Linked DNA regions of Drosophila melanogaster. The protein of the gene in region 3 purifies or fractionates together with the protein of the main gene of each other region. This does not show direct contact. Each region holds a gene or a part of one and is shown on either strand. Other genes may lie near its edges.

Region 1 (3,752 bases), on a different chromosome or scaffold from region 3:
TTGGAGCTCTTGGCTAAACTGGACCACATCGAACCGAGCAAGCTGCGAAGTGTCGAGCAGCAGGTTCGACGTCGCATGGCAGCGGAGAAGGAAATGTCTCGCCGTGCGTTAGTCAAGCAGAACCGGCTACACAACTGGATGGCGCATTTCAAGAAGCATCATGATCAGCAGGTTGAGCAACGATGGAAAAATAAAGTCTAAGCTAGACAACAACACCATACTTAAAACATTAAATGAATACAATTTAAAACTTATTTTAACCTCATTCTGAATGATTTCAATAAGAAAAGTACAATTCACTTACCTGACATCGCTGCCGGCGATAGCCAGATAGGTTCCGCTTTGGTCGAAGCACAGATCCTTGACCTCGTAGCCGTCATCAAGCTGGATTGTCTTAAAGTTCTTCAGCTTTCGCAGATCCCACAGCTTAACGCAGGCATCATCTGCAGCGGTGGCCAGGTAGTAACCGTTCTCCGAGAAGGAGATGGCCGAAATGGGACCGGTATGACCAGGGAAGTTGGCCACATTGCTCTGCTCCTTCAAATCCCAGATCTTAACCTGCGAGTCCACGGTGCCCGTACCGAAGATCAGACCATCAGGATGGAATTGCGCTGTCGTCAGCCCGACTTCGGCGGTATCGATTACCTTGGTGAGCAGGCGTCCTGTGCGGATATCGGAGAATGCCCAGTGTTTGTCGGATGATGTGGACAGCAAGTAGTCGCCAGTGGGGTGCAGCGAAAGGCCAGTAACAGGTCCTTCGTGGCAGCGCAGGAGAAGCTGCGTCTGCGAAGTGGGCACGTGCCAGATGCGTATGTTCATGTCGGGCGAGCCGGTTATGACTGTATCCTCGTTAGGATGATATATGACTTTGGTGATCTTCTTGGTGTGTCCCTTCAGGATGGCCACCATCTGCTCTGTGTCCTTGTTGAACACGGTGGCGTTTTTATCGTTGCCTCCGGTCAGAATCTTACTGTGATCAGCACTGTTGATGTCCAAGGCCAGAATGCCGGGAACGGAGGCCGAGTGTAGGCCGGGATGGGATGCCACAGTAAGGAAGTTCTTAACCTGATCCGTTGTAACCAGATCCTCGGGCACAGTGCGTCCGCGCTTCTTACGCTCCTGCGTCAGCACCGTGGCCTTGTCCTGCAGTTTCTGTATGACCTCGGCGCTCATGCCCGCCTGCTCCATGGGATGGGCAGCAGCTCCGCCAGCCTCAGAGGCCAGGGCCGGTTGTGGTATTGCCGTGGGTGCGTTGGCAATGCCCGCCTGCGGTTTCAACGTGGCCAGAGCTTCGCGAGCGGCGGCCACCTCCTTATTGAGGCGGGCAATCACACGACAGGCGGCATCGTGCTGATACAGCGCATGGGACAACTCCTGGCGCGTCGTTTGCAGCTGCTGGCGTTGTGTGAACGAGTGAATCATGAGGGCGTCCCACTCGTCCTGCATCGTTTTCAAAGTGGCCGGAATGCTGGTGGCACTTGGCGGTTTCGGTTTCACCACAGCCGGCGTCTTGATCTCGATCAGCTCCTCCGGCTTCAGCTCCTTGCCGCTAATGGGATCGCAGCCATTCTCTAACAGATACTTCTCAATCACCCGCTTTTCGAAAACGGCTCCCGAGTGCGGGGAAACCACGGGCGTCTCGGGGACTTCGTTTGTCACTTGGAATGGAAAGTGCGATTCATAATGGCCCAATTCAAATCAAAATCTAAATTATTCACTTACGTGCGCAAACCAAAGCCATTGCTGTTTGTGATTATGTCGCTTTTCGCGTAGTCTTGTTGGTAAATTAAATGTTTTACACGTTTTTCCCGAGCCAAGCGCAAAATTGTCGGCAAAGCCGCTTCTTCTTATTATGCCAGTTACTCGGCGACGCGGGAGTTTCGAGCACAGGGCTGCCAGATCAAATGGATTTTGGCTAGAAATTTGCACAGAAAAAACTAGCTAGAATTTAAACAATTTATTTTATTGATAACACAACACATTCAATAAGTATTTAATCCATAACAATAGTTTTTATAGATAAATGACATTTACTGATAGAGAAGTGAGTAACATATCTTAAATCAATCAGCTATCTCACCGTTTTGCCAATCACAGTTCCGCACGCACAATCCATAATTGCTGGCAACCCTAGCACGTTGTTTCTGTTATTCAATTCACGATCTAGTTTTATAACATAGTTTACTGCCATTAAGGTATATTTTTAAAATGCTGAAGCATTTTGCACGATGGCGTCTGGGCAGCCAGTTGCTAAAGGGATGTGCCGCACCAGTGAGGCAAGCCTCCAAAACCTCCAGCGCAGAGAACCTGATAGCCGGCACAGAGGAACCCCAAAAAAAGTTCGTCAATCCGTTTTCCCAGCCCGCTCCTGCGTTAAGTAATGATACGATATCAGAGAACAAGGAGGAACGGGATAAGCGACTCAAGGTGCTGCAGCTGGAGGCGGACATTGCCCACCAGGAGGGTCGGCGGGTGCCGTCACTGGAATTCTTTAAGGATCATCATTGGGAGCACGTGCTGACGCTACCCACAAAATCAGCTAGGATCAAGTACTTTGGCTATCTCTGGCAAATCGAGATGAAGAAGGAGGCGGATCAACGCAAGAAGGCAGAGCGAGCGAAGGAAGCCGAGCGGCGGGTTGCGGAGATGCGAAAGGAGCGCGAGGAGAATACGCACATTATCTATGGCCTGGGACACACATCGTTGTTTCTGCGTATCTATGATACCACTATTAATCACTGGCAGAACAACCGACTCACACGGGCCATGCAGTTTGCCCCCAAAATGGTTTTGGATTGCTCCTACGATGAGCACATGAACAATCGGGAGGCTACCTATGCAGCAAAGCAATTGATGATGTGCTTTGCGGAGAACCGGATGAATGATGAGCCCTTCGATCTGCACTATTGCAACACCCAGATGGACAGCAGATGCATGCAGAGCCTCCAACGCTACATCCCCACCATGCACAATCCAGAGTTCCCGATAAATTTGCATAGCAAGTGCTTTACGGAACTCTTTCCCAAGCAGAACCTGGTCTACCTAACGCCCCACTGCCGGGAGGATCTGGTCACTTACAACCCAGATGACATCTACATCGTGGGCGCCATGGTAGACACTATGAACAACGAACCCCTTTCGCTGGCCAAAGCCAAACGATTGGGCCTTCGGATGGCGAGACTGCCCCTGGATCGCTACCTACAGTGGGGTTCCGGTTCGGGAAAGTCGCTAACTCTAAACCAGATGATCAACATTATGCTGGACCTCAAGAAAACCGGCGACTGGGATACGGCCTTGAAGCATGTGCCCCGTCGGAAGGTCGTGCAAAACGAATTCCAGCCGCGCAGGGAGAAAGATCATTGGAGCACAGGCACGCGGGCCAGGAAGCTTAATATGCGAATCGATCATCTGTTTGATTTTGACGAGAATCGCCGGCAGGCTACCTCCTATGCAACTCCGCAGAATGTAAGGCAGCGACGGGAGGGCTTGGAGTTCCAACTGGACACTTGGGCAACGGGGAAGCAAAAGAAAAAGCAGAGACAAAATTAAAGTTACTCGTTGTATTCATTAAGATGCATATTTCATTTTATTCGGATTCGGATTTCTTATTCATGGGAAGTTAGTTTTTGGTTGTAGGGGACCTTCTGCCTCCACTTCCTTCTTAATGGCTGCCACAGTCTGATTCGATGAGGGAATCTCTTCAATTACTAGACCAGTATACTCTTCAGCAGGTTCACCATAATCTGTGTCTG
Region 2 (3,752 bases), 7.9 Mb from region 3:
ACATTTGATATTTTTAGAAACGGAATAAACCCCGTTTAAGTGCACAGAAACAGAATCTGTGATTACCCTGGTAAAAGAAAAACACTAGAAGGGGAAAATACCCCACTTGAATTAACCCCCTGCTAAAGGGTATTTTCGCTTCGGCGTGTCTGAATATTTTTAGTTGGCTCGTGTTTTAAAGTCCTCGAATCCACTCCCACCTCGTTGATCCTGCAGCAGCTGTTTTTGCCACAGTTCCTGCTGCTCTTGCGTGGGAGCAGAATGTTTGTTGTTCCTGCTGTTGTTATTGAATCCCCCCTCCCCCCCCTTCGTCCTTGGCCATTGTTCTGTGGACTCGTTTTGGCCGGAGCGGAGGGGTTGCAGCCGTGACCGTGACTGACTGCCCGTAACCCCAGCAACGACCACATAGTGGACGATGTTATTGTTATCGCATACTTTGGTAACCAGTGCACTGTGGTCGGGATGACCAATATGAAGTAAGACGCATTAAAGCTGTTTCTTTAGTCACTTTAAAAAATGAAAAATTTATAAAGATAATACTCAGCAATACTTCTGCGACAAATTCACATTCGTAAATTATTCAAATTTGACAAAACAACGGAATGTTTAAAAACTTTATAGTCTTTTTAAGTTAGAATAAGTCTTAAGTTCTAGAAAGACCCCACGAAGTTGAAGAAAATGTACTTTAAGTGAAGTAAGTCTTCAGTGGCTTCAGTGGAATCGTATGTACTCGAATCGGAAGGTGGGTAAAGATGTGAACAATAAAGTAATATGTTTTTCGAAATTAAATTCCGCCCACTGTCCGTGTTCGTTGCTGCGGCTGCTGGCTGAATTTTAAACGTGCCAAGTCCTTGGTTGTAAACTGAAGACGTGCGGTGTGGGGCGATTTGTTGCCACTGTTGCGGTCGCTTTGTTGCTGCCGCCTTACTTCGTTTTCGTTATTTTTTCTCAAATATTAATTGCTTTGAGCAACAGTAGAAGCCCTTGGCTACTGCTCCAAACCCAATCACTTCGAATTTCCGAAAATTCCCCAAGCAGCAGCACAACGAGTTTGGAAAAGTGGCAAGGCGAAGCAGACGTAACCGAAAGCAATAAATTCACAAATGCAAATAAAATGCGAGCTTTGCTTCAACTCCTGTTCTGTATACATATGTATTTGATTCTATTTTTTACCCGGCCAGTTGACAGGGGCGTGTGCGTGGGCGTTTCTACTGCCAGCCGCACAACACAATGTCCTGGGTGTAAGTCTCGACCTTGGCTTTGCATAGCGACCTTTCGCCAATGCCACAATATATCCCCATTCCTACCCATATCCCTATTCCCCGAATGCCCAGTGGTGCCCACTTGTTTGTAGCGAGGACAGATTTACTTGCCATTTCCAATCCGGGGAATCCATTTCGCAGCCAGCTGTTCAGACTTTCAGATAAAGTGCACGCTTAAGAGAATCATGACAAATTAATGCTTGTGAATGAAGTGGCAAATCATCGTTTCATGGCCAAAAAGGTCGTATTCGAAGAAGATCTAGAATTAGATATTGGAAAGAACCTGCAGCAGATGGCTCATATTAGAAATATCTAAGAAATGTGGCTGGTTATTAACGTATAATTCCATTAGGGTCTTGAGCACTATTGTATATGTCGGCGAAACAGGAGTCTCATCCATATTATTTATTCACTTCGCGATTTTGTACGTCAGCGCAGCAAGTTCCGATCGACGTCAGCAGTCAAACTTCACTGAAGGGATCTTCTTACATGTCCCTTCTTCATCATATTCTCTAATGGCTATACACACTGGCGTGTGCCACATTGTCATCTCTCTCTAACACACTATTTATGACCACTCGATCGGACCTCACTCAGCTGCAGAGGCTGTTCGTGCCTCTGCCGCAGCGCTCGACAGAATTTTACCGCAATATTACAATTTCATCAGAATATGAAATCACAGAAGGAATTTCTGGAATGCGAAGAGTCGCGCTCCGACATATACAATCATGCTGATAATAACATTGATTTTATTGCACATTTAATTGCCTTACATTGTATTACACTTTCTAGCAGTATTCAAGATTATCTCCTATTATTTATAGCAATTTGTTAGTTGTTACTCATGCATAATGGCGACTTAATATTATATTTTAAAATTGTTTTTTTCTTATGTTAATCTGGATTACCACCCCACTTCGTGATTAATTCTGAGCGGAGAACAAAAACACTCTGATAAATTAAGTTGTAAACAACTACTTTCGAAAAGCAATTAAAAAATTTATTTACAGTATTTCACGATAAGGCGAATAACAAAACCATTAACTTGTTAATGTGCCGGTACAAACTATTTCCTCTAAAATGTTATCAGTTATCTGATTACGGGTTGATGTGATTGATTCCAAATATAAGTTGTTAAAGATTGAGTTATTTTAAGAATACCCGCTGATAACATTTCCTTTTGTGAAATTTATTGAACGGTCGTTCAATAAAGAATTGCCGAGAGCATTCTGATTACCATTCTGCTGCAAAAAACACTCGAAAACAACCCGTCTTTAAGAGACTGCAAAAGGCCAAGGAAAGATCACTCGTCTGTGCCTTTGATTGCGAACGACCACTGAATCGATGGGAGAAAGATATGGGAGTGCGTATATGTGGCCAGAAAATTATGTATACGCAGCGTTTCCTCATTGAGAGGCGCTGCTGACGCAAAATAAATGAAACGATTTTAAAATAAAAGCAACTCATAATTTTTGCCCCTACGATTGGTGCCTGTGTTGTCGCGTCTGTTGTCCATTTTATGCTATTTCTGTTTGCGTTCGCTTTTGTTTTGTTTTCCATCTTCTTGCCTTTTTGCCAGGGTTTTGCCAATTGATGAATTGAATACGTACAGACCGCTGCCGTCGGCTCTTTCGTCAATTGGCTTGACTGGATCTAGCTGCAGTTTGCACTGACGTCACGTCCCAAAAGCAAAAGTGCCCCTAACTCACTTAACACATCGGCCTGATTGGCAGCGACGTCGATTCCATTCGACTGTATATGCGCGCATACGTATGTTCTGCTTGACTTGAGGTATACTTGAGTTGTAAATGTCTCAATTAACCATAGTAACAATAGCCAAATGTTATCTATGGAGTCTAAATACGTCCATTTGGTGCGTCAGTGGGGACTGTCGTCGCGATAAGAAGCGAATCGAGGGAACTACCGTGGCCATGATTTACGATAACCAGCGGGTTTCAACCGGTTGAACTCAACATTGAACTGCTGATAACACTTGCTTAAAAGCGATTTATTGGAATATTTGCTGAACAGGATTTTAATTCCTTCCTTGCTTGGAAGCAAGAACCACTGTAAACTTTTGGTAATCTCTTCATCCTACCCAAATCACCGAATTTCGGCAGCACATGTCGGCGATGGCGGCTCCTAATAGAAATCGCTTTTGCATAGCCAAGTTGGCCCAAACTATTTTCATGTCAAAGCGCTGACAAGACGGGCGCACACAGAAACCTACAGATACACAGATACATTTGCACTTGGAGCCGCACAGTTGCGAGTGACAGTCGACAACAAAGGGGCTGGTCGAATCAGTTTGAGTCTGAGGCAAGTGAAAACTCCTCGGAATCGCCCAAGGACTTTGAGTGATAACAATCCAATTTGTAAAAGTAGTGGGCGGGGATGGATGAGCTGTTATGGTATGTGTATGGGGGCCGCATTAGAATTTACAATTTCGTCGAAGGTCAATCGAAATGCCAGGAATTTTCTGACCCCAAA
Region 3 (3,752 bases):
ATTATACAGATTTTGGTTGTCTATTGAAATTCAAATACTCTTCAAATGTATTTACTTCATTCGTTTGTTGTTACGGCTAGGAAAAGTGCGTTACATAAAAGTAATGATAGAATATTAGTTTAGATCAAGTCAGCCACGTTCATGGGCATCTCGTCGATTTGTGTGGAGTAGTACTGCTCAATGTCGCGCAGGATGCGGATATCGTCCGATTTGACAAAGTTAATTGCAACACCTTTGCGTCCGAAACGACCAGAACGACCGATGCGATGGATGTACAGCTCACGGTTGTTGGGCAAATCGTAGTTGATGACCAGCGACACCTGCTGTACATCGATACCCCGAGCCCACACATCGGTGGTGATGAGCACTCGCGACTGGCCGGCTCGGAACTCCTTCATGATCTCGTCACGCTCCTTTTGCGGCATATCGCCGTGCATCGAGCTGACTGTAAAGTTAGCCTCGCGCATCTTCTCCGTCAGCCAGTCCACCTTGCGTTTCGTGTTGCAGAAGATGACGGCCTGGGTAATGGTCAGAGTATCGTACAGATCGCACAGGGTATCGAATTTCCATTCCTCGCGCTCCACGGCGACGAAGAACTGCTTGATGCCTTCCAGTGTCAATTCGTCACTGTGAGGGAATGGAATTTATGAATCATACTGCGTATATGGGGGAGCATCATATTGCTTACCGCTTGACCAAGATGCGAATCGGATCTGTCATAAATTTGGAGGTCATCTCGAGTATCTCGTGGGGCAAGGTAGCTGAGATGAGCACCACCTGGGTGGCTGGTGGCAAGTAGCGATACACATCGTATATCTGTTCCTTGAAACCCTTATTAAGCATCTCGTCAGCTTCGTCCAGCACTAGCATCTTGATGGCTCTATAAAATGTACTTATAATTATAATATTGTTTGATCGGGCACAATGAAACATACCTTGTTCGCAGCACTCGTCGCTTGATCATGTCGAAGACTCGTCCTGGAGTGCCGCTCACAATGTGTTGACCGTAGTCCAATTTGCGGATATCCTCGCCCAGGTTGGTGCCACCGATGCACACATGGCACTGGACATTCATCATGTCGCCGAGGGCAAGAATGACTTTCTGGATTTGCACAGCCAACTCGCGAGTGGGCGACAGGCACAGAACCTGCGTCTCCCGCAGCGTGGTGTCCAGGCTCTGCAGGATGGAGATGGAGAAGGTGGCGGTTTTGCCCGTGCCTGATTGTGCCTGGGCAATCACATCCCGTCCCTTGACGATAGGCGTAATGCTCCTTTGCTGAATGGCCGAGGGTTTCTCGAAGCCTTGGGAGTGCAGAAAACTGGATTAGTTCTAGACCGGCCATAGGTATACACACCACTCACCGTACGCGTAGATGCCGCGTAGCAGCTCCTCCTTTAGATTCATGGCGTTGAATGTGGGTATCACCTCCACATCCTCGCTCGTCTCGAACTCCACGTTGGAGAGGTCCTCCGCCTGGGCATTCTTGCGCGCCATGTTCACGATTTGTTCGCGTGCGGTTTCGGCTGATATTAATAAATATTTACAGTCTTTTTCGGCTAATTTTTCTGACTTTCACAGAAAAAAATGCGGTCCGCTTACTAGGGGTGGCCTATCAATTGCTTAGCAACAATCGATTATTGAATCGGCGTCGATTTAATTTGATATCGATATGTTTTCACTTATTTTGCGACAAGTGGCAACACTGATATCGGGCGGAAAAAATTTAAAGTGAATATATGTTCTTATTTATTGTATTTTATAAAATATAAATATGATTATTGCCATAACAAACAAGAAACTCAACTTGTTTTTTCCGGAGTGCTACTTCTTCTCCTGCGCAGGAAGTTCTCGAGCGACTGAAGATCCTTTCGCTTCAGCATCTTAATCCTGCTCACCAGTTTTTGCAAAGCTTCGATCCGTTGCTGTGCTTCCTTGGCGGCGTCGTTGGCCTTCTTAGCGCTCTGCTTATTTCGCTCCAGATCCTTCTGAGCCTCGCACATGCAGCTATGGAGCTCTTCCACCCGCATCCTGGCCGCTTTCAGAAGGCTGCGCTTTTCCAGGGCCTCTTTCTGGGCACTGTCGGCCATCCTCCGGATGTTATCGAGATTTCCGCCCATTTCCTTTAGCATACTCTTCATAATGTTCACGGATGTGCAGAGCTTGTCACGGATCCCCTTTGCCGACGTCGCCGAGCACGAGCTGGCAGCAATGGCTCGTTGGATTTCCTCGATAACCCTGTTCGTTTCTGCCAGACTTTTGGTGTATTCATCGAGGAGCTGCTTCTTCCCGTTGAGAGCCGCCTCCGCAGCCTTGGCCGCCTGCAACGCCCTGTCCGCCAGCATTTCCCGTGCCCTGTAGCCCGCCATCTCCGCGGCACATGGCTGCGCATCCTTGGCGTCCTTCGCATCCTTGGCCGCCTTCGAGGCCACCTGGCTGGCTTTCATGCTCGTCTTGCAGGGAAGGGAGCCGGGCTTGAAACGCGGATCATTCCGCTGGGCAGGATGCGCGGCGGTCGACAGCAGGATGTTCGAAAGAAGCAACATCGTAACCAGGGAGTCGCAACGCATTGGGAATCTTGCATCGTACATAAATCTCAAGGCTCATCAGGAAATCGAAATGTGGAGATAATAATGGGAATATAGCAGCTCCACCTTTCAAATCACTATTATTTGAAATATTTGTACAGTAACCACAAGTTACCTGGAGTATATATTTCTTAAATATCTTTAGAAATCCGTTTAATACAACTATTTCGAGTTAAGCATGGAGATAGCACGAATCGCATTTCTACTTTTCTTCCTGTTCTCAGATCATTCTGCGGGCCACAAGTTGCCGCAGTCCTCCAATGAGATAGCTGCTCTAATGTCGGATCATCATGGTGATGGCGACAACAGTGTGTCGTCATCCTCCGGCGGTGCCCCGTGCGACTTCAAGATGAATGGAAAGACCAGGGTAAAGGCCTCATGCATTGCGCAGAAGGCGGCCAAGGAAGCCATGGAGGCATCCGATGCCCAGATAGAGGCTGGCGAGGCAGCTGCCCGCCAGGTGAAGCAGCAACTGGCCGACAAAGCGCTGGCCGCAGCCAAGGCGGCAGAAGCTGCTCTGGCCGGCAAGCAACAGATTGTCGAGCAACTGGAGTCCGAGGTGCGCGAGGGGGAGCTAGTGGTCCAGGAGGAGAGCACCTTGTTACAGACCACCCAAACTACTTATGCTGCGGCCGGGCAAGCGGCCAAACAGGCGGCAGATCAGCTGAACACCATTACGCTGGCGGTGAAGAATGCGCAGGATAATGTGGTCAACTCGGAGCACGTGGCCAGTGGCGCTCAGCAGGAGCTGGGCGAGAAGCAACAGCTTGTGGAAGCGGCCAAGAAGCGGGTGGAGCTATTGCTCCGCCAGCTGGAGGTGGCCCGTGTGGATTTCAAGAATACCAAAAACGCCGCCGAGAAGGCAGCCTGTGCTGCCCAGGAGGCCAGGCATAGGGCCACCAGGGAGCGCAGGAGGGCGGAACTGAGGCACTTACTCTGGCTGAAGAGGGGGCGCACCAACTGAAGCCAATAACTTGTATATCTTATATTTTATTTTACTTTGCATTTTCAAAAGGGAGAATATAATTCAGTTTTATTAAATTCAATAGTTCGTAGGTGAGATCACAATTATAAACTACAAATTGTGACATCAAGTTTATCATGATGCAATTGGGGATTACGGGGCGTATACTCAACACACCTCGCTAAGCTTCCGAACACTCCTC

What was found.
Region 1: the proteins of CG7483 (region 3) and Prp19 purify together in Drosophila melanogaster (affinity purification with mass spectrometry, with the first as the bait; one study listed by BioGRID). This does not show direct contact.
Region 2: the proteins of CG7483 (region 3) and Bin1 purify together in Drosophila melanogaster (affinity purification with mass spectrometry, with the first as the bait; one study listed by BioGRID). This does not show direct contact.

Annotation. Positions count from the first base shown.
Region 1 is NT_033778.4:18,449,168-18,452,919, forward strand, and holds the start of Prp19 (Pre-RNA processing factor 19), read right to left. Parts: upstream 1,875-3,752; 5' UTR 1,742-1,874; coding exon 1,723-1,741; intron 1,659-1,722; coding exon 305-1,658; intron 254-304; exon of another isoform or gene 202-253; coding exon of another isoform or gene 1-201. Other genes in the region: CG30120 (uncharacterized protein), read left to right, coding at 1-201; rswl (roswell), read left to right, coding at 2,209-3,549; Dnaaf3 (dynein axonemal assembly factor 3), read right to left, coding at 3,610-3,752.
Region 2 is NT_033777.3:16,187,830-16,191,581, forward strand, and holds the start of Bin1 (bicoid interacting protein 1), read right to left. Parts: upstream 1,736-3,752; 5' UTR 1,374-1,735; exon of another isoform or gene 1-1,373. UniProt on the Drosophila melanogaster protein: Involved in the tethering of the SIN3 complex to core histone proteins. Interacts with bicoid (bcd) to repress transcription of bicoid target genes in the anterior tip of the embryo; a process known as retraction.
Region 3 is NT_033777.3:8,311,081-8,314,832, reverse strand, and holds the start of CG7483 (uncharacterized protein), read right to left. Parts: upstream 1,626-3,752; 5' UTR 1,496-1,625; coding exon 1,363-1,495; intron 1,303-1,362; coding exon 936-1,302; intron 881-935; coding exon 689-880; intron 628-688; coding exon 120-627; 3' UTR 1-119. Other genes in the region: CG11698 (uncharacterized protein), read right to left, coding at 1,801-2,589; CG11694 (uncharacterized protein), read left to right, coding at 2,765-3,550. UniProt on the Drosophila melanogaster protein: ATP-dependent RNA helicase. Core component of the splicing-dependent multiprotein exon junction complex (EJC) deposited at splice junctions on mRNAs. Involved in exon definition of genes containing long introns, including the rolled/MAPK gene.